Linked DNA regions of Arabidopsis thaliana. The protein of the gene in region 4 interacts with the protein of the main gene of each other region in a pairwise test. Each region holds a gene or a part of one and is shown on either strand. Other genes may lie near its edges.

What was found.
Region 1: the proteins of AT1G61590 (region 4) and AT4G39050 interact in a two-hybrid assay, tested with the Arabidopsis thaliana proteins (one large-scale study listed by BioGRID).
Region 2: the proteins of AT1G61590 (region 4) and OBE1 interact in a two-hybrid assay, tested with the Arabidopsis thaliana proteins (one large-scale study listed by BioGRID).
Region 3: the proteins of AT1G61590 (region 4) and PKP-ALPHA interact in a two-hybrid assay, tested with the Arabidopsis thaliana proteins (one large-scale study listed by BioGRID).

The regions. Positions count from the first base shown.
Region 1 is NC_003075.7:18,191,270-18,196,115, reverse strand, and holds the start of AT4G39050 (Kinesin motor family protein), read right to left. Parts: upstream 3,042-4,846; 5' UTR 2,655-3,041; coding exon 2,329-2,654; intron 2,201-2,328; coding exon 2,103-2,200; intron 2,021-2,102; coding exon 1,931-2,020; intron 1,797-1,930; coding exon 1,744-1,796; intron 1,370-1,743; coding exon 1,304-1,369; intron 1,207-1,303; coding exon 1,153-1,206; intron 931-1,152; coding exon 871-930; intron 702-870; coding exon 623-701; intron 529-622; coding exon 461-528; intron 319-460; coding exon 262-318; intron 181-261; coding exon 76-180; intron 1-75.
Region 2 is NC_003074.8:2,482,698-2,487,637, reverse strand, and holds OBE1 (potyvirus VPg interacting protein (DUF1423)), read right to left. Parts: upstream 3,185-4,940; 5' UTR 2,653-3,184; coding exon 2,630-2,652; intron 2,545-2,629; coding exon 1,445-2,544; intron 1,373-1,444; coding exon 762-1,372; 3' UTR 512-761; downstream 1-511. Other genes in the region: AT3G07790 (DGCR14-like protein), read right to left, coding at 1-147; Hsp89.1 (HEAT SHOCK PROTEIN 89.1), read right to left, coding at 3,668-3,844, 3,947-4,036, 4,134-4,239, 4,327-4,501, 4,592-4,694, 4,799-4,940. UniProt on the Arabidopsis thaliana protein: Probable transcription factor that acts together with OBE2 for the maintenance and/or establishment of both the shoot and root meristems, probably by controlling the expression of the meristem genes such as WUS, PLT1 and PLT2 and of genes required for auxin responses.
Region 3 is NC_003074.8:8,137,667-8,142,591, reverse strand, and holds PKP-ALPHA (Pyruvate kinase family protein), read right to left. Parts: upstream 3,408-4,925; 5' UTR 3,224-3,407; coding exon 2,621-3,223; intron 2,522-2,620; coding exon 2,431-2,521; intron 2,326-2,430; coding exon 2,132-2,325; intron 1,940-2,131; coding exon 1,818-1,939; intron 1,678-1,817; coding exon 1,199-1,677; intron 1,123-1,198; coding exon 821-1,122; 3' UTR 540-820; downstream 1-539. Other genes in the region: AT3G22961 (Paired amphipathic helix (PAH2) superfamily protein), read right to left, coding at 1-454.
Region 4 is NC_003070.9:22,722,852-22,728,130, reverse strand, and holds AT1G61590 (Protein kinase superfamily protein), read left to right. Parts: upstream 1-1,940; 5' UTR 1,941-2,108; coding exon 2,109-2,552; intron 2,553-3,026; coding exon 3,027-3,162; intron 3,163-3,273; coding exon 3,274-3,410; intron 3,411-3,515; coding exon 3,516-3,639; intron 3,640-4,006; coding exon 4,007-4,440; 3' UTR 4,441-4,763; downstream 4,764-5,279. UniProt on the Arabidopsis thaliana protein: May be involved in plant defense signaling.

The DNA.
Region 1 (4,846 bases), on a different chromosome or scaffold from region 4:
GACATGCCAACCTTAAATGTCTAAAGAAACAGATGAAAAATAGAAAGATAGCTCGAATCAAAAATAGACACCTACAGTTCCAAGAGTTAGAAGACTCTTGTTGATGTATGAACCCTCCTTCCTCCTCAATCCAGTTGTTTCAGTTTTCGAACTCTCAGATCCAGCTAAGTCAATCAAATTCTAAACAAGAAAATATACAGTTAGGTCCCATTTTCAAAACTAATTGATCTTATACAATAACAAAAAGAAAGAGGCCCTTACGAGTTGAGAAAAGATAACTCCATCATATTCATCTCCAGTAGCACTACTTTCAACCATCTGCAAACACATACAAATTAGACTTCAAAACATGTACATTGTAAGGACACCTTGTAAGAGCAAAACATCATGCCGAGACACTGAAAAGAGGCTACAAATTACAATATGACAAGCTCTTGGAGCTTGGAGCATGAAGACGTACCAGTGTAAATATAGTGTGACTTCTGCTGCTCAACAAATTGAAATTATTTGAACCAACATGACGATGTTCTGCAATTAAAAACAACAGCAATGTTAAGTAGAGGCGGGAAGGACAGAGTTGACAAAATCAAAACATGTTTCAGGGGTTAAATTATCTAATAACCTTCCCCAGCTGCAATGAATGATAGTGCATGGCCAGGAGACAAAACAACTTCTTCCTTGATACCCTCAACATAAGTGCCCTAGAAAAACAAAACGCAAAACGAATCAATATCTTTTCTCAAATGATATCAAATTCACATGTGATTCTAAGCTAATTTGTTCACATTTATTCTAGTAGAGCACAATGTGTGTGCGTGTGTGAGAGAGAAATGGGAGAAAGCCAAGCATTCTATAGAGGTTGAAGCAAACCTGGGAATCCTCTCTAACACGTAAGTTTTGGCCTGTTGGATCCAGTAAATCATTTATCACCTGATACAAAGACGGTTATCAGATAAACTGCGGATATCTGAAACATAGAAGCACACATGTAAAACCAAGAAGATCATGAACAGTCACCCAATTCTCTATATTTTTAAGCATTCTAGTTCTCAAAGATAAGGCAGAAGAACTAGAAAACATATCCCAATCTAAAAATATCTACTTTTCAGGGATTACCAAGTAAATATATCAAGGATAAAAAGTTCCACTTACCTCATTGTATATTTCAAGATATGAAACACGGAGCAGGAACTCCCTTCCTGGAGTCTGAAATATAAAAATGTAGCCAGTTAGCGAGCATGAAATCATATAAAAAAGTCGTGATGAGATGAGAAAAGACATGAACCCCGTTAAGACCACTTACATCCTGGATGATACTGAACACGTCTTTTATTGCTAGCGGTATGATCCCAGGAGATTCTTGATCACCCTATGCATATTGCAAAAGCAACCAATGGCAGAACAAAAAGAACATCAGATTTAGGTTCTACTTGTTTGGACGGGAACTAAAGACCCAACGTAGCTACTTCACTAAAGATAAGCACAGCCAATCTAAATGAAGACCTTCAAATTCCATTCATACGAGGATTTCCAACTCACATAACCATCACCAATTAATGATGGCAAGTTGGTATTTGTATGGTATCTTTTGCTACCATGTAAATGTTTAGAGTAACCCAGAATAACCAGCAGATACCAAAGGGGGACCAAGTTGAAGAAGAGATCCCAATTCATAGCACATGTGTTTTGAAGAAAAACTAGAGAGAAAGGCGTATAAGGATTCTTCTTTTTTAAAACCCTTACATGCATTGTATGTGTCTTTCCACTGCTAGTAACACCGTAAGCAAAAACGGTTCCTGTCAAAATTCCAACCCTGAGTCAGAAAATATGTTGCAAGCAATACTACTTGCGGACCAATTGGTTTAGAGGATATTTCTATATAAAAGATACAGATTTTGGTAAAGCTGAATTTTGCAGCAATGTTACTTACCGTTAACACCTTCCATTGCTGCCTTGACTACTGGTCTCGCAGCTACATCATAAACGTCAATAGTAGTTGCCTGTGGTCCAAAAACTTTATCTGGCATCAAAACAAATTTGGAAAACATTCACTCAATGATTACAAGAAAACATTCAGAATAATTGAGAGGTGAACCAAATACCAAATGCGTAAGCTGTGAGTGGGTTATACTCGTGCCTAACCAATGTATCACCATCAGGGTACCAAGCAACTTCATCTCCTCTTTGATACTCTCTATCACTGCAAACCCACAAAGATAAAAACTTGAATTTGCAAACCCCAATAAAGAATTGACTCCAATTGCATCTACATGAAAACTGTAATCTCTGCAATAGATCTGGTCCATGGCGAGATCAGATCTAGCATACCTCAACGGACGAAAACGAACGGTGACGGAGATACTATCCCGCTCAGAGCTAATAGTATCGTCCATAGGGTCACCGAGAAGCTCCTCTGACGGGTAGGGAACAGGCGATCCAATTCCAAAGCTGCCGGAGCCGATAAGGCCCGAGTCGGAGAAGGTGCGACTAGGCGTCATAGATCGGGAGGCGATTCCGGCGGCGGAGGTAATCAATGAGGAAGCAGAGGTAGAGTTAGAACGAGGAATGAGACGGTTGCTGAGATGAGAAGAAGAAGTGGAAGAAGCGGGACTTGGAGGTCTACTGCTTCTAGTTCTCGATGAGGATGAAGCCATCCACTAACCTCGAAACTCGAGGGTCAAACTCGGTCGCAGGAATCGGTGAGAAGAATCAAACCAAAACAAAACTTCCGAAGATGCAGAGAATGTGTCAGTGGGAGCTCACATGGCTGGAGACATAAGAAGAATAAAGCATTGTTGTGACCCTCTCTTCTTCTTCTCGTCTTCTTCTTTGGCTAGGAGATGGTAGACAGAGATGGTGAGACCATTGAAGAGAGAAAGAGAGAGAGATTGTTTCGTCTTCTTTAAGCGAAGATCGAATTCCTCAGATTTCTCTCTCCTCTGGGTGAAGAAACGAGGAGGCTGAGAAATTTCAGATTTTGAATTTTGTTTCTTTTTTTTGTGCCTTTCCAAATATACTCTATTTTTAATTTTTAAATTAATTGTGGTAGTTGAAAAATTATTTAGGAAGGAGAACGACAAAACAAAAATAAATTATTTTCTTGGGTGAGAATAAAAAAAAACATTTAAAGTAGTTTTTACTGTATGCTGCTGACGTGGTTATTATTGAAGACCAGACCACCGTGTTACTGTAACGTGTATGACCAAAATGGTTTACCGGTTTGAATTTTTTTCAAGAGACGAGCGGGAATAACTATGGCTGACCAAATACTGTAATTACCGTTTTTACCCTTATAGTTCTTCTTCGTATAATTAGTTAATTACTGTACTAAGATATTGACTTATTTCAAACACACTTACACACACATTAATTTTCTTTTTATGATGGAATAATATGTAGCATCAACAAAACACTACTCGATTTCAAAAATAATAACTGGTTAACAAATATGTTTGATGCTTTAATTACAAGCTTTAGGAATCTATCTAAGTTTTGATTGAGAATCTTTTGATATAAAATGCCATAAAAAAAATGCAATGCTAATCCATCAATGTGTATTGTGTATGGAGTTACAACTTAAATCCAAAATAATGAATATGGAGTTACCAGCACGTACATATATATCTGCTAAGCTTTATTCGTCCGCCGTCATATAAAATGTCCCAGTTGGACATACAATACTTTGGTTCATATATATATATATATCATAAAGTATAGAATGCCAATAGATATTTCTTCCATTACTATGAATGGTGTAACAATAATATAAAGCAAATTAAGGATGGAATATGTTTTAAATATAAATACACATTGTAGACATATAGAACAAACGTTAGACTACATTTTAAATATACAGAATAAACATATATAACAAACGTTTTTTTTTTGTTCTGTAGAGATATTTTTGTCTGGGTGAAATTACACATTTCATTATGCGACTGATATAAATTTATAATATTCGTTATTTTTTTATTTTTTTTGTCAGCATATACGTTAGTTAACAATAGTATCCTTTAACTTGGAAAATACAAATCCTGAAATTATTAACATTGGATGCGAACACAATCATACACGGAGATTGATCTGACTTGAGTTCCGGCTCTACCTTTACCGCGAGACATTGCATTGTAAATTACGTAACAGCAATTTTTAAGAAATTCTTGAAAATACAAAATAAATCAAAAATATTACTGGAGTTTGACTCAAACTTTTTGAGTGACGCGCATCAGAGAGGAGCGGAGACACGCGCGAGAATAATTGGCCGGTGAGGAACCGGAGGATATAGATTTAAGCCACCCATGTGATCGCTGCTCCTTTCTCCTGATACCGCTTTACACGTAGACGCTAAACGCTCTTAATTGGGTTAATACTGTAATTTTGATTATTGACGACAACGAGATAGCAAGGGTACTTCGGTAATTTGCTAAGTGTATATTAATTATCCATGGAATATTAATTATTATTTTGATTTAACGCCAAATTGAATTTTCATGTTTTTGTTTCGTTTTGATTTGACATCTAAGGCTAATTGATATACCAAACAACAAACTTCATTAAAATAAACTGAGTAAGATACATAACGTTTAACTATATGATCCAAAAGACCAAAACCAAATTGTTTCGTTTCATCTTCAAGTAACTAATGGGGTAGTTCATTTAAATCGAGTATTTCATTTTAGCTCGACGTAGTGCTTAAGCAGTATCATGTGGAATCTTGCGTGTCCTAAATAATAATAATAATTCTTACTATTATTAACAATTATAATAACAGCAACGACAATAATTTGGAAATCGTCGTCTTAGACTCTCGGCTCGGGAACATGTAAAAATTTGGATAATGCAACAA
Region 2 (4,940 bases), on a different chromosome or scaffold from region 4:
ATCGAGAACTCTCATCCGTTTTCTAGGGTTTCGAGGAATGATCTCCGAGGAAGAACTGCGAGGCGTTGATCGGAGGGTATCATCGGAATAAGAAGACGGCGATGGAGAAGAAATCTGACGAGGAGAATGACCAGGTGAAAGAAACATCTTGAATCAGAAGAACGCGAATTCAAAAAGCACGAATGGAATTTGGAGCCGATGAATTTTGTCGAGAATTCGGACACTAGGGTTTGTTTTTGGGTAGACAGGAAAACAAAACGATGGTCGATGATTGCATCGGCGATGATATAATATTCCTTATCAATCCGATTATACGCGTTTTGTTTCCAGAATATTACATTATTTCCCCAAACGTTTTGATTCCTTTTGCTTTATACCCCGTAAGAAATCAAATCGTTATTATAACCCAAACATGAGGACGTTATTGCAAATAACTACTCTGTAATATCCATTTGGGCAAAATATTTTCTTTTTAAAGTCGGTGGCGATGTTCTTTGGCTCTCATGTTGGCTCAAATATAAACTATTTAAGGTAACATGGATCTCCCTCCATTAGCGAAATCCACAATTCTCTAAATCCGAGTGAATAAGTATCGAGATTTTGGCAACACTCTGTGTCAAAGCTTGCATAACATTATGGCCCAACATAGACGATCATGTGCAAAATTTGAATACAAAGACCACAATACTTCACACACAAATCCAACCTTAATTGATTCGGATTTTTTTTTTAATACAAACAAAGAGAGACAATACAAACATCTAAGGATTGGATCTGAAAGGATTTCGCTGGTTTGATCTTGGATCTACCCTTGGCGACGATGCATTGTATCCATGCAGCATTTCTCTGATCTTTGAGTACATCACTGCTTGTGACGCTTCACCACCATTCCCACCACTTTCCTGCTCTTTTATCTTTTCAAACAGATACTCTTTCTCTGCCTCCGCCTCGCTCAGCCTCAGTTTCAAATAGTTACTTGCGTATTCCTCTTCTGTTTTCTCCTTTTTCGCTTTCACAATCCTTTCCAATCTCTCTGCTTCCACTTTTGCCTCGTTTGCTTTTAACTGAAACATCTCTGCCTCTGCTTGCTTCAGCCTCACTATCCTCTCCACCTCTTCTATCTGTTGTTTCTTCTTCTGCCTCTCCATCTGCAGTTCCGCCACTTGCTTTGCTTTCTCTTCTACCTCTCTCTCGCATTCCTCAAGCCCCATTCGCGCTTTCTTGTACATCCTCGTCTTTTCCTCACCCACTATCTCCATTTTCCTCAGTGTTTCCTTTACAACTTCAGCAATTCGGTTGCATGCATCTTGAGGTGCTATCGTACCCCCACCTTCTCCGCTTTCAAGGCTCTTTGGAGAGTCCAATTCAATTTCTTCATACACAAAACATGGTTAGGTCTATAAAGAGTAAACCCTTATCATATAACAATAGCGAGTGGGCTTACCTTGGAAAAACATGAGTATCAACTTGGCCGCTGTTGCTTCAGCCAGTCCACCTTTAATCTTCTCCATAAGCTCCTCACACTTCCAGAAGAGTTTCCGGCCTCTTGTATCTTCGCTTCCACGGAAAATCCTACTAACGAAGTCAAGTTCCTTCATTAAAGATTCCCTATCCCAGTTTGGTGCACAGTGCTGAAACACATCTTTCACCCACCCCAGCAATTCAGAAGTATGGTTGCACGCTCGACACTTGAACAGCATTTCTCCCATCCCAGATACGCTCTTGGGAGAAACTCCCATCGAAATCTCCCCATCCCTAATAGCACAATCCGTATGAGTCCAATGAGAACACACGTCGCAGCCAATCCAGCGGCATGTGTTGACTGCAAAGTCAAACTTGTTACATATCACACACATGCACAGGTTGCAGAAGCCTTTCCTATTAGCGCATATCTCACAGGGACAACCATCAGCCGGGAGTTCGTTTTGGCAAGCTATGTTTCTGCATCTCTTGTACACAAAGATCTCGATGAGTGATGACTGAGAGAGATTGATGTTTGGGTGCAAGAATGCTTGGATACCAGTGTTTATAACCACAAGAACTTCAAGCTGCACTCGGTGAGCCCTGACAAGTGTCTTTGAAGTTAAATCAGATCTCGTCTGGACAAACTTCTGCAGAAACATAAACTCATCTATAGGCTGCGCACCATTTCCTTCAAGGATAGCCTTAAGACCATTCTTTAACTCCTCGAGATATTCTTCTGGTAATCGATGCATTCTCTCAGCGACTATGTCAAGTCTCTCTCTAGCTATGTCCCGTAGCGATACCTTATCAGCAATGGAAACATGGCGGATCACATGTTGATCATGAGAGTCAGGCCCTGTCTTTCCGCTATCTGTCTTCCTTCCCATAATAGATTTTGAGGTTGGCCAAGTTTCTTGAGAGCTAGCACTTTCAGCTGGTGATTCACGCACAATGCCAGAATTAGACCGTGACAAGTGGGGATCTGAAGATACAAGCGAAAGAGATGTTTGTAGTTGCTGACGTGGAGGTAGCATCTGGTGAGGAAGATTGGACCCAGATGATGTGCCCATCAATTTAGTGCTGCAGACACCAAGATAATGTCAATGTCAGATTCACCCCAAGGAACACATAAATCCCTAAAATACTTTACGACCAAATCACATACTAATTCAGGAAAGCCCAAAACATTTTGCAAAATCCCTAGAAATCCACCGACAGATAAAAACTACATCTCCTATGTTCAAATTGAGCTGAGATGATTAATCACTAGTGGAAGCTCAAAAAATACAAACACATGACAGAGTAAACACAAAACAAGCGCTAGAAAAAAACAAGTTGCTCGAATCTGTTTGCCCCGTAGATTATACGCTATAAAAGTCAAACACGAATCTTCATAAAATCAGAAAATCTTGCAAGTACCAAAATACATAGTCATAAACTGAATCAACCCTCAAAACAACGCATCCAACTCGATCACGAGAGTTATTGACTCTTTTTGTCACCGAATTTTCAGGACCAGCCTCGAACTCAACAACCAAAACAGATACGTTTTGCTGTATTCGCCTCAGACATAAAGAAAGCACCAAACAGACGAGAAAGGGAAAAAGACCGCCGGAAAATTAAGGACTCACCGGAGAGACGACGGGAGAGGACGAACGAGGAACCGTGACTCCGTGAGAAACCCAAAGGAAAGATAAATTAAACACTTTTTTGCCTGTTAAGACAGAACTATAAAAAAGACATACAGCTGCCAGTTCATTAATCTCTAACGGTTAACCTGACCAGCCGGTAACCTTCGACTTTTGTTGACTTTTTTAAACGCGTTCAACGTTTGAGTCGAATCTGTCCAAACAAAGTTTTAAACCAACCCAATTCGTACGATAACAACATCCCTCTATTTAATTAAAAATTACCATATGTCCCAAAATTTTAGTTTTGTTAGATAAAACTCGAAAAATCTTTCCAAAAACACCCCAACTGAATTTTTCTTAACGGTTATTAAAATTATACCGAGGAGGATCAACACAAACTGGAACAAAAACAAGCTCAATCAATTATTAATCTCTCCAACATAAATAGAGATTATCATTCGCTCATTGCCTATTGTTCTGAGTTTTGGGGTTCTACTTTTACTGCTACTACTAATAAAAGAAGAAGAATATGATGAGAATCGTAGCAGGGACATAAAACATTAGGCTTGTGTTCATTTCTTCCCATCCACTTCGACTGGTTCAACCACTTCAGCTTCAAACGTCTCTGCATCGTGAGAATGTGCCATCTGCTGTTGCTGCGGCTGCACCTCAGGGCTTGACCATTTCCCGGAAAGAGCTACATCCATCATCTCATATATCTTCCCACCCAGCTCTGCTGGATTATCGGGCTGTAGTTTTGAGAAACAACAATTAAGTTTTACCAGTATTTACTTTATTTCAATTCTAGAGACAACAAAAAGTTAAGAATGTTAATGTAGAATAGGACTCACCGTGAACCCACTAGAAACTAGTGCTGCGTCATACATAAGATCTATGGCTCTCATTGCATCTTCGTCATTTGGGTTACTATTGTAAGCAGCCTGCAGGGTGCAAGAAAAAAACAAGCCAAGCTCAAAAAGCGGCTCCTAGATTTAATTATAATAGCCAGGTACAAGTTATGATGAATGGTGACTTCACATTTATGTTCTTGATAATTGAGTGGTCGGGATTGATCTCAAACACTCTTCTCCCTTTCATGTAGTCGAGGCTTATTGTGTCACCAGTTGATTGTGCCTTCATTAGCCTGTCCAGATAACATATTCTGTGTTAGTTCACCAGGGGCAAAAAAGGAGAACGGAAATCCTTGCTTAAGAAAAAGGTCAGATCTTACCTCTCCATATTGGCTGACCAACCAAATTTACCAGATACAAGAACACAGGGGGAAGAACTAAGACGGTTGGAAATTTGAACACTGGCAACCTTGTCACCCAATCGTTTCTTTATCCAGTCACAAGTCTGTCCAAACTCTTTTTTCACTGCTGCCTCTTTCTCCTCGTTCTTGTCTCCTGTCAATACAAAGATCAAAGCCAGAATTTGTTATTATACATAAGTGATTACCTGACATGCTAAATCAAGGAATTACATCAGGCACTTGCCTAGATCCAAGTCTTCCTTGCTGATATCTACAAAATCCTTCTCCTTATAAGCTTTTAAACTCTGTACGGCAACTTCATCAATAGGCTCTACCAAATATAGTACCTACGTTCACAATACAAAGAAATACATGTCAATCACCTCTGAGTTAATAGGAATATTTGCAAGGAAGAACAAAACGAGGCCCCATTCAGAAGAACAACACATACTTCAAGTCCTTTCTCCAGCATCTTTTCGAGGAAAGGTGCATTCTTAGCACTTGTAATGCTGTCAGAAGCAATGAAGTATATGGCTTTCTGTTCAGGTTTCATGTTCTCAACATACTCATCCAAGCTGATCATGTCATTCTCA
Region 3 (4,925 bases), on a different chromosome or scaffold from region 4:
GATCGCAGAGAATCACGTCGAGTTGTTCAACCAAATCCACAATATCACCGCCAAACACCAGCTGATTTAGGAACGCACCGTGTAAACCCTTTCCCAAACCTTCCACTTTCTTCATCAACTCAACCGTGCGTTCTACGTCTGATTTTGCCGAGTTACAATCCTTCTCTGTGATAGGTGAATCTAATAGAAGAAGCTGATGGAATTCTTGGAGCAGAGCGTCGTGGTTACGAAGAATAGAAGCGACTTTGGTTTTGAGATCGATGTAACTTAAAGACTTAGATCGATAAGACTTCATTGCATTTAAAAATTTAACGATGATTGTCTTATCATCCAACTCTTTAACTTTTTTCACGAACTCGCAACTCCGTTGAATCTCTTCTTCCGAACAATCCGACGGAGTTTCATAAAAATCTCTCTCTTGATTCTTCATCCGAGGTCTCTTGCAACTTTTCATGTTTGTTCAAATATCTTCTCTAATGGAGAGGCGATTCTAATTGTGATTATATATACACTATTTATAATATAGGGTTATGGTATATATTCGAACTCATCCTATTTGGGTTTACATATATATCCTAACAAAAAGATAAAACAAAAGGACTAAATGATAGAATCGAATATTTGAATAAGATTACTGATATTATTGAAAACCAAAAACAAACAGTACACACTACAAACAAAGCTTACACATTACTGTTGTTAACAAACCGAAGATGATGATGCCTCTGGAATCTAATGTAAGAGTAGTCTAAAAACAGTAACAAAAGTAGGAAACAAAACACTCTTTTGCGGGATTGCGAAATTGTATAAAGAGAGAGAATTACGGGACGTTCATTACCTGGATTGATTGCAGCATGTCCGAGACTGCGATCACGAGGTCACCAGATTTGATCATACCTCTTGATTTCAGTAACGAGAATGTTTTGTTCAAGTTGCTTTCCATGTCGTCTGAGAAGCTGAGACGGAATGGGATAAGTCCCCATTGTAGGTTTAAGCGTCTTCTCACTGAGGTTGTGGTTGTGAAAGCAAAGATCGGGCAGTCCGGGCGACATCGGGAGACCAGTGATGCCATGTGTCCGCTCGTTGTGTAAACGAAAACCGCGTCCACTCCAAGATTGTTAGCTGCAAGTTTTTGGATAGTAAAATGAGACACTAAAGACATATTGCCTTCTATGGAAAACAAAGAACCTAAATTTACCCATTTTAGCAGCTGAGTTACAGATCTCTTCTGAGATTTTGTCTGAAAATGAAGAGCCTATGGCTTGAAGCGGTACAGACTCATGGCGTTTCTCTTCCCTCCACCATCTCTCGATTCTTAAACTGACAGTCCTTAGAACCGTGAGCGCCTTGTCTGGGAATTGTCCCATAGCTGATTCTCCAGAGAGCATCAATGCATCTGATCTTTGTCTTACTGCTTCAGACACGTCGGCAACTTCTGCTCTGGTTGGAGTTGGGTACTCAATCATGGACTCCAATAGCTGTGAAGCGACAATGACGGGTTTGTTAAGAGCTCTGCATACTTGGACGATTCTCTGTTGAGCTGCTGGAACTTGCTCAAGAGGTATCTGAGCTCCCAGATCTCCTCTTGCAACCATGGCCCCATCTGATGCTAGAATAATTTCTTCCAAATTGGTCAGTGAATCGATACTCTCGATCTTTGCAATCACTCCAATTTCCCTGCATCATAGTTGAATACAACATCAAAATAAAACTATAACTAAAGATGGTGAATACATGACGCAAAACCCAATCCCAAAGTAGATCATATGTTTCCTGTACAGTAGTATGATGTGTTGATATTGAGCATGTTTACTTACCCTCCACGGGAACGAGCAGCAAGATAACTTTTAAGGTGATTAATGACTTCAGCCGACTTGACAAACGATACAGCAATGAAATCCACACCTTCAGCAATTCCAAAATCAATATCCAACCAGTCCTGAATATAAAGAATTGAGGTATCATCAGTGAAAATGAGTATGTTTTCCCTCAGGTATCATCTGTTTTGCTAACATGGACTCATCTAGTTTCCAAAAGTGTACATCTTCACCATTGCTTTGATCCCTCCCAAATTTACCAAGTAAAGTGAATCATAATTCAAAGCTTAAAGGGAAGATACAAAATTACAAACCTTGGAAGAAATTGTTGGAAGCATGGCATTACGCTCTCGTACAAGACTTCCATCTCTCCAAAACGTCAAGTTAGCTCGAGGAAGCAACAATCCAGGATCGGTACATAGACACTTAACATCAGGACCAATCTTCTCAATCACTTCAAATCTCACCATCCCACCATCAACCAAAAGTTCATCCCCAACTCTTACATCTACACCACACACAAAGACCAAATGATTCCTATTTCATACGCAGTCACCATAATATTCATCTAATGTTTTCACTTCCACTTTTACATAAACATAATTGCATATACCTTCAGCGAAACCATCGTAGCTAACACTAATGGTACGTTCAGGACGAGAAGAATCAAAAGCTCTAACAGTGAAAGTCCAAACCTCACCATCCTGTAAAAATGTCATCACCACCAAAGCTTAAACATCTAAATCACAAACACAGCAATGTCTACATCGAATTCAAATCAAAATAAGAAGAGATTAAACAACCTCTGCTTTAGCTGAAGCTTCACCACCAAGATCTCCCATATGAATCTCACTACCTTCAGTATCCATCATAATAGCAACCGCAAAGCCTTTCTCCTCATTAAGCCTCCGAACACTACGAATCACACCGCGGTGCCAATCACGCGTACCGTGACACATATTAAGCCTTGCCACATTCATACCTCCCACAGCAAGCGCCTCAAGCTGCTCAAATCCACAAGTCGCCGGTCCGATCGTACAGATCAGCTTCGTCCTCCTCGTACTTCTAAATCCATTCTCCTTAAGCTCAGCTTCCGTCACAGTATCAACCTCAATCCCAGACGTATCAGTCGTAACCGCCGTAGCGACAACGGATCTCTCATCAGACTTCACAGCACCAGTACCGTTAGGTGAGAGAAGTACTTGCGAGGATGATGATGAGGACGATGAATCGAGATCCGGTGAAGGAGATGATGACGAGGAGGCTCTGATGGAAGTGTATTTGATGGTTGTTAGAGGGAAGCGACGGAAGGAGATAGAGGAGAGAGGACGGTTGAATTGTGAGTGAGGGAGATGGAGAAGGTGAGGAGTGTGTGAAGGAGTGGAGAATTGAATAGACTGAGACATGGTTTCGCCGGCGACGGAGGAAGAGAGATCGGAGAAATCGAAATCGAAATCTCAGGACAGTTGGCTCTGAGGAGAATGAAGGCGGAGATATCGAAGTGTGAGAGTGTTGAATTTGGATTTTTTTTTTTTTTTCTGATATGATAGGACTTTGGGAGAGAGGTTATATTTGGAATATTTGTATTTGTATTTATATATATATTCTATGTTTTGGTGCCGTCGAGGCTGTATGTAAAATAAGTGTACCTACCCACCTAAGAATGATCAAATTAGATTTTGTGATTATTACTATTATTATTTTTAATAAAATATTAAATTCGACCAAGAAAAAATAAAGTTAGGATACATCAAATGTAACTTTTCCAAAATTGTTTTGAAATTAGATTATACAAGAGAGGTTTTAAGGACTTTTAGATGCAAACCATGTTTGGAGATTTGGTTCGTATCTACTATATTTCTCCTTTCAAATGATTGAGAGTTTTTTTTTTTTCCAGCTTATCTATTCACTTAGGAAGATGTGTGATAAGAATCAGAGTTTTATTGTGTGTTTTTTTTATTGCGTTCTCGCCAAATCGAATGAACCATTATTTGAAAACTGTATTAGAGGAAGAATATATGGATTCTGTTACAGTGATCAGAAGTAATAATAATGACTAGAGCTTGCCATATTGTAGAGAATCGTCACTAGAGTAGTGGTTTCGCTAGGGAGGACCAGACTGCCGACGAGTACTTACAGCTGAAAAACAAGTGCTCTCGTGTCTCGATAAGAGTGTTACATAACACACATGTTCGATTCAAGTTCACATTCCAAGCCTTCATTGAATCTAATGTAGAGAGTCGATTCCGCATTGCTAGCCATATACAAAAAGAGAACTATCAACTATGATAGGATCTAAAAAATCCAATTAGACTTTTCTAGAACTATTATATATATATATATATATATATATATATATATATATATATATATATTTTAAATCATCGTATACAATAACAAAAATAAGATTCGTTACCAAAATTAGCACAAATTTAATAATAAAATAATCAATATAAGCATTTAATTAACATTTCACACGATCGTATTATAACCATGATTTCAAATTATAATTAAATTTGTTATTTTAAATCCTCAATATAATTTACTTCTATTTAATTTTATATACTTCTGTGGGCCGAGAAAATGTAATTGTTATAATCTAAAATATATGGAAAGGCCCTAAGCCCGTTTGAGTTTTTTTTTTTCTCGTTTAAAAACATCTTTGTGGATTTCAAGTCTTCAACAATGTTCGTCTTTGGCGTCGTGGCTAATGGCGGTGACGTGTTCGGTGCCATTACGGTAGAGGCTGCAGCCGTTTGGGTAAGTAAAAGAAAACATTACTATATAGTTTTCATTTTAATATTTGTTATATTAAAAGTTATTAATAATTTAGATCATCATATTTACAGTTTTGACATTGTTTCCCGCATACTTTTCTTCTTCTTCTTCTCTCCACCCATCTGCTTTAAGGAAGGAACCTCAAAAGCTTACAAAATAGTAGAAGAAGAACTTTTTTTGATCTCCGATTCTTACCTCTGCAATCTTCAGATTCTAGCTGATTCAAGGTTTGATCACAAATTTCCCGATTTGTATATATATAATTTAGATTTGGTTAACTTTATCGAATCTGGGATCGTTGTATCCAAATCTGATCTGGGCTTCTCTGAT
Region 4 (5,279 bases):
AGGACCCTGTGCATTGGCACCTCTGGCACTCCCCTAGAGCCGGGCCTGCAATCTAGTCATATAAATTTTTCTGAAAGGTTGATTATACATAGTCTCATGTAAACTAAAAATGGTTTACACAAGCATTCATCTTAATACTCAATCACGTATAATAACTAACATACTCAGTCCTTGTTTAAACACTTGTTATCTTATAACCCTATTACTTTGTTACTTCGCGAGCATGCTATCTAATTTTTACATATAAGTGATATAAACATACAATAACTATATGTCTATATCCATGAACCTTACTTTATAAGACAATCATGAACCATAACCATGCATGGAAAATATGCGGATGTGTTAAGAAATTTTTATCGACATTAGCTATTCGAGTTAATTTATTAAGTGGTTTGTATTTGAAACTATATATGTACACTGTACACAGAAGAAAAAATAATTTTAGGATACCACATATGGTTGATCAAGGAACAAAAAAAAAGAAAAGATGGAGTAGAATAAGCCAATAGTTTTGAAAAGTGGAGCAGGAAGAAGCGTAATGGAAATGATAAAGTTTTGTTATAGTAGACATTATCCATTTCTGCATACATCATCCATTATCTCACTTTAACTGCTCCTATGATTTTTCACAAGAAAAAATAATAAGAAATTAATTAAGATGTAAACAAAACTGAAAACCAAAAACCATCCGTTGAGGAAATATCCTTGTACACACTATAAACCCCACAGTAATATGATATAAAAATATTTTCCTTAACAATAAAATGAAATATTTGGGTATAGGTCAATGACCAAACTGTGGATCAACTAAAGTAAATATATTTCTATTATTGGAATGGAAGTTCACACTTAACTCAGAGTCCTTTCTGGATATATCAAATCCGATCAGAGAATTTTTCCTGAATGATCTGTCATTCAGTCAAATTAACTAACCCTTAAGACCCAAAAATGCAATAGACCTTTGTTAGAGGTGGAGGTAACCCTGGCCGAAGACGTAACCATGGCCTAATAGGTTTATGTCATAATAAAAATAAATTAAAAACATTATCTATCAATTTATTCCAACATAACTAAATGTTTTTTCTACTCCTACATTTTTCGTAATATACATTTATTGGCATTTCGTAAAGCTAAAAACTTATAAATTTTATCAAACAACATCTTTGATTACAATTGATTAATTTCTCGTAATCTCTCTTTCTCTTGTAACTGGATCTTCAGAGCCAAAACTAAGTTAAAATCTTAATTTAGCCATTAAGTGAAATATGTAGTGATAAAAAAGCTTCCCCTTAAAAAATCGTCTCCAACTTGTTTGACTAATATAACAAATCCACTACACTTATTAGTTAATGATTTGATAACTCCAAACTAGTCCGTAATTTTTAAATCGCTTACGCTAACAATATTGTATCTTCAAATTTACTAAGATATATTTTGTTTTTCCGAGTCAAATGTGATACCACATGTACATATATCTTTACAATGGAGTCAAAAGAGAAGACATCATGACGCAAAACCCCAAATTTTGAGTAGAGTGGTTAGGGCAGTTGATGAAAGAACGTCCCTACTCTTTCCTCTTCATCCTTTATTTATCAGCTTATCCTTAATCGAAAGCTAGAAAACAAAACCGCTATTTCACATTTTCTAATCGTTATTCAAATAATAAGTTTGTGTGAGTCTAAAAGTTAGATAGCAAAAGTTGCAAAACTATTGAATTTATTTTTCCATGTTTTTTTCGGAAATACTGTAATGTGATGAGTATAATTGGATCTGTTAGTTTGTTGGTTTTAATTAGAGGTTACTACTATAGAACATTTTATAGTTTTAATGTTTCTATAACCAACCAAAAATCCATTAGATCAAAGTATCCGAATTCAAATATCGTGTCAAAAAAAACACGATCATGCAATATACATTTAAGTGTCATAAATTAACCGTTACGTATTACATTGTGACCTATATGATAGTTACATTTATTTATTATACTTATATAAGCATAGTCCGTCCCTATCTCATATGTATAAATAAGACCCAACCCATCCATCATTGTTTTGCCTCCTAAAATCTTACAACACAAAAAAAAAAAAAACATTTAGTTAAATCCAATGAGAGACTCTTCAACAACTGCATCCACCAAATCCTCACCGTTATGGAAACCCTTTGCCTCAAACTGTTGTTCCGTTGATGACCAAACCGTCTTTGGCAATCTCAGCCGTTGCCGACCTTCGAGATCAGAATTCTCCAAGAACCATCTCGGACCACTTCCTTCTTTTCGGCGACTCTCCTTTGCTGATCTAAGCCGTTCTTCTTCGGCTAGGATCAATGAAGATCTTGCACAGACTCTTGGAGCCGACTTAGTGGATTTTCAGATGTGTGAACTCAAGATGATCACTCAGAGTTTCTCCGGGAACTATCTTCTCGGAGAAGGTGGGTTCGGTAAAGTGTATAAAGGTTATGTTGATGATTATCTCCGACAAAGTCTCAAGGCTCAGCCTGTTGCTGTCAAGCTATTGGACATTGAGGGGCTTCAAGGACATCGTGAATGGCTTGTAAGAACGTTTACCAATAATTGCATGCTAATTATTGTGTTATTTTTCTTGTTACTGTTCAGTAATTATTATTTAGTTATGACATACATTTGATTACGCATACGTATATGGTTTAAGTTATAGGACATCCCAAATATTATTCTAAAATTACAAACCACTCCTCATGGTTTTTATATTTTGAAGATTCTTTGGACTCATTTATTTTTAATTACTTTAGGCTAGGAAACTATATTAAAAAATGTGTTTGGTCATAATATGGACTAATTAAGTACGCATACGATACGAGCTTGTTGTTTCTTTTTTTGGTGTCACGTACATTGTAAGAGAATCTTTTTCTTGTTAGTCTGATATATGTAAGAGTTGGTTAGACCACTTTCGTATACTCTTATATACACCTATCATCTTAATTTAGTCTCTAAGAATATAATTAATTAAAAACATCTGATACATAATATGTTTTTGGTTCATATGCAGTCTGAGGTCATATTTCTTGGACAGCTAAAACACCCGAATTTAGTCAAACTTATTGGTTACTGCTGCGAAGAAGAGGAACGAGTACTCATCTACGAGTTTATGCCACGTGGTAGCCTAGAAAATCACCTCTTCAGACGTAAGAACATTTTTAATAATTAAAATTTAATTCGTATCTTAATGTAATTTTTACTGTATTAAGTGATCAGTATTTCATTTTACTTTCATATTAACGTAATTAAATTGTCAGGGATATCACTATCGTTGCCGTGGGCGACGCGGCTGAAGATAGCGGTCGCAGCTGCTAAGGGTTTGGCGTTTTTGCATGATTTGGAGAGTCCAATCATTTACCGTGATTTCAAAACTTCTAATATACTACTTGATTCGGTAATTTACTAATTTTAGTTTGATTTTTTTTTTTTCAGCGTACAAAATTATCCTAAATACATTCTTCAAAAATATATTTTCTTATTATTACATGGGGGTTTTCAGGATTTTACTGCAAAACTCTCAGATTTTGGGTTGGCAAAAATGGGACCAGAAGGATCCAAATCTCATGTCACAACTCGAGTCATGGGCACTTATGGTTATGCTGCTCCTGAATATGTTTCAACAGGTTTATACACAATGATTTCATTGTCTGTTTTTTCAGTATTTATTCAAATCATTAGGGTCCTTTTAAAAAAAAGGATATAGTTTCCTTCTCATATATATATCTTCCATTGCTTTCTCTTACAAAGAGACCATTTTGATAGAGTCATTTTGAGGATTACACAGAACATAGAAATAAGTAAAACATATAAATCTGTAATGCGTCAAAATTTGAATGAATAGGAATTAATTAATTTTATGGGATTCTAATTTTTGATTAATTTTTCTTTTCTTAACTCAACAGAGCTTTATTAATAAGAGTGGACATAGTCATGGTGTAATCAGAATCTAATTTTGATTAATTATCTAACGCATGTGAGCATTATTTTCAGGGCATTTAACAACAAAGAGTGACGTGTATAGTTATGGCGTCGTTTTACTCGAGCTCCTAACGGGAAGAAGAGCCACAGAAAAGTCACGGCCAAAAAACCAGCAGAACATCATCGACTGGTCAAAGCCTTATCTAACAAGCAGCCGCCGACTCCGATGTGTTATGGACCCGAGGCTCGCTGGACAATACTCCGTCAAGGCGGCTAAAGATACAGCTCTTCTAGCCTTACAATGTGTGAGCCCAAACCCTAAAGACCGGCCCAAAATGCTTGCCGTTGTGGAAGCTCTAGAGAGTCTCATACATTATAAGGACATGGCGGTTTCTTCTGGTCATTGGCCACTGTCTCCTAAATCTCAGGGCGGGAAGGTTTCCCCGAAGGTTCGAGGGGATCATCGGAGTGGTAGAAAATCAGCTCCGGGTTCGTTAAGATCGTGAACTTAGGGTTGAATGACCTTATAAAAAAAGAGAGAAAATAACATGTGTGATGTGGTGTGTGTGTATGTGTGTATACGGTCATACGTCTAAGAGTGACATAGTGAGAGACATATGACTCTCACTAAGAAAAAACAATGATATGAATATATAAATATTGTAGATTAGGGTTTTCGTATAAAATATTTAATCCAATTGGCTTTGATATAGTTTTGCGTTTTTCATTGTGAATATCACATCTGTAGATCATTCATGGTGTATAGTATCACTTAATTGGATCTAGTAATATCATATCATCTAACATATGTTTGCGTAATAGATTGAGGTCTTTTAAATACACTCTTTCATTTGATCAGATTCTAGAATTTTTTTTAAATAGTTTTAATGCAATATTTTGGATATATGCTAATTAATTAAAACTAAATGGGCCGGGCTACTTGACCCTAACCATAAGCCAAGCCCATAGAAGGCGTAACCCGTAATTCAGAAGCCCTAGGTTTCAGAGAAAGTATAAATACCTTATTTCAGTTTTCATTTTACCCCAAACATTAATATCTCTACTCATATCGCCGACTTAAAGGTACATAAAGTTTCTCTTGATTCTTTCGATCTTGCTTCAGGAATCAGGACACTGGTTCATCTCTTACCTCATTTGATTTTCATCATTAGGTTTCAATTTATGTGCGCTTTGTCTGTTAAATTTTCGTAATTTGCCTTGGTTGATCATAGTTTCACATTCTCTAGCTGCTTAAGTTTTGTAGTATGTTGTAAAAATGTGTGTTTTGATTATGATATACTCTCAAGGTAGTTCTGGTTTATGATTCAAAATGAGAACCCTCGGA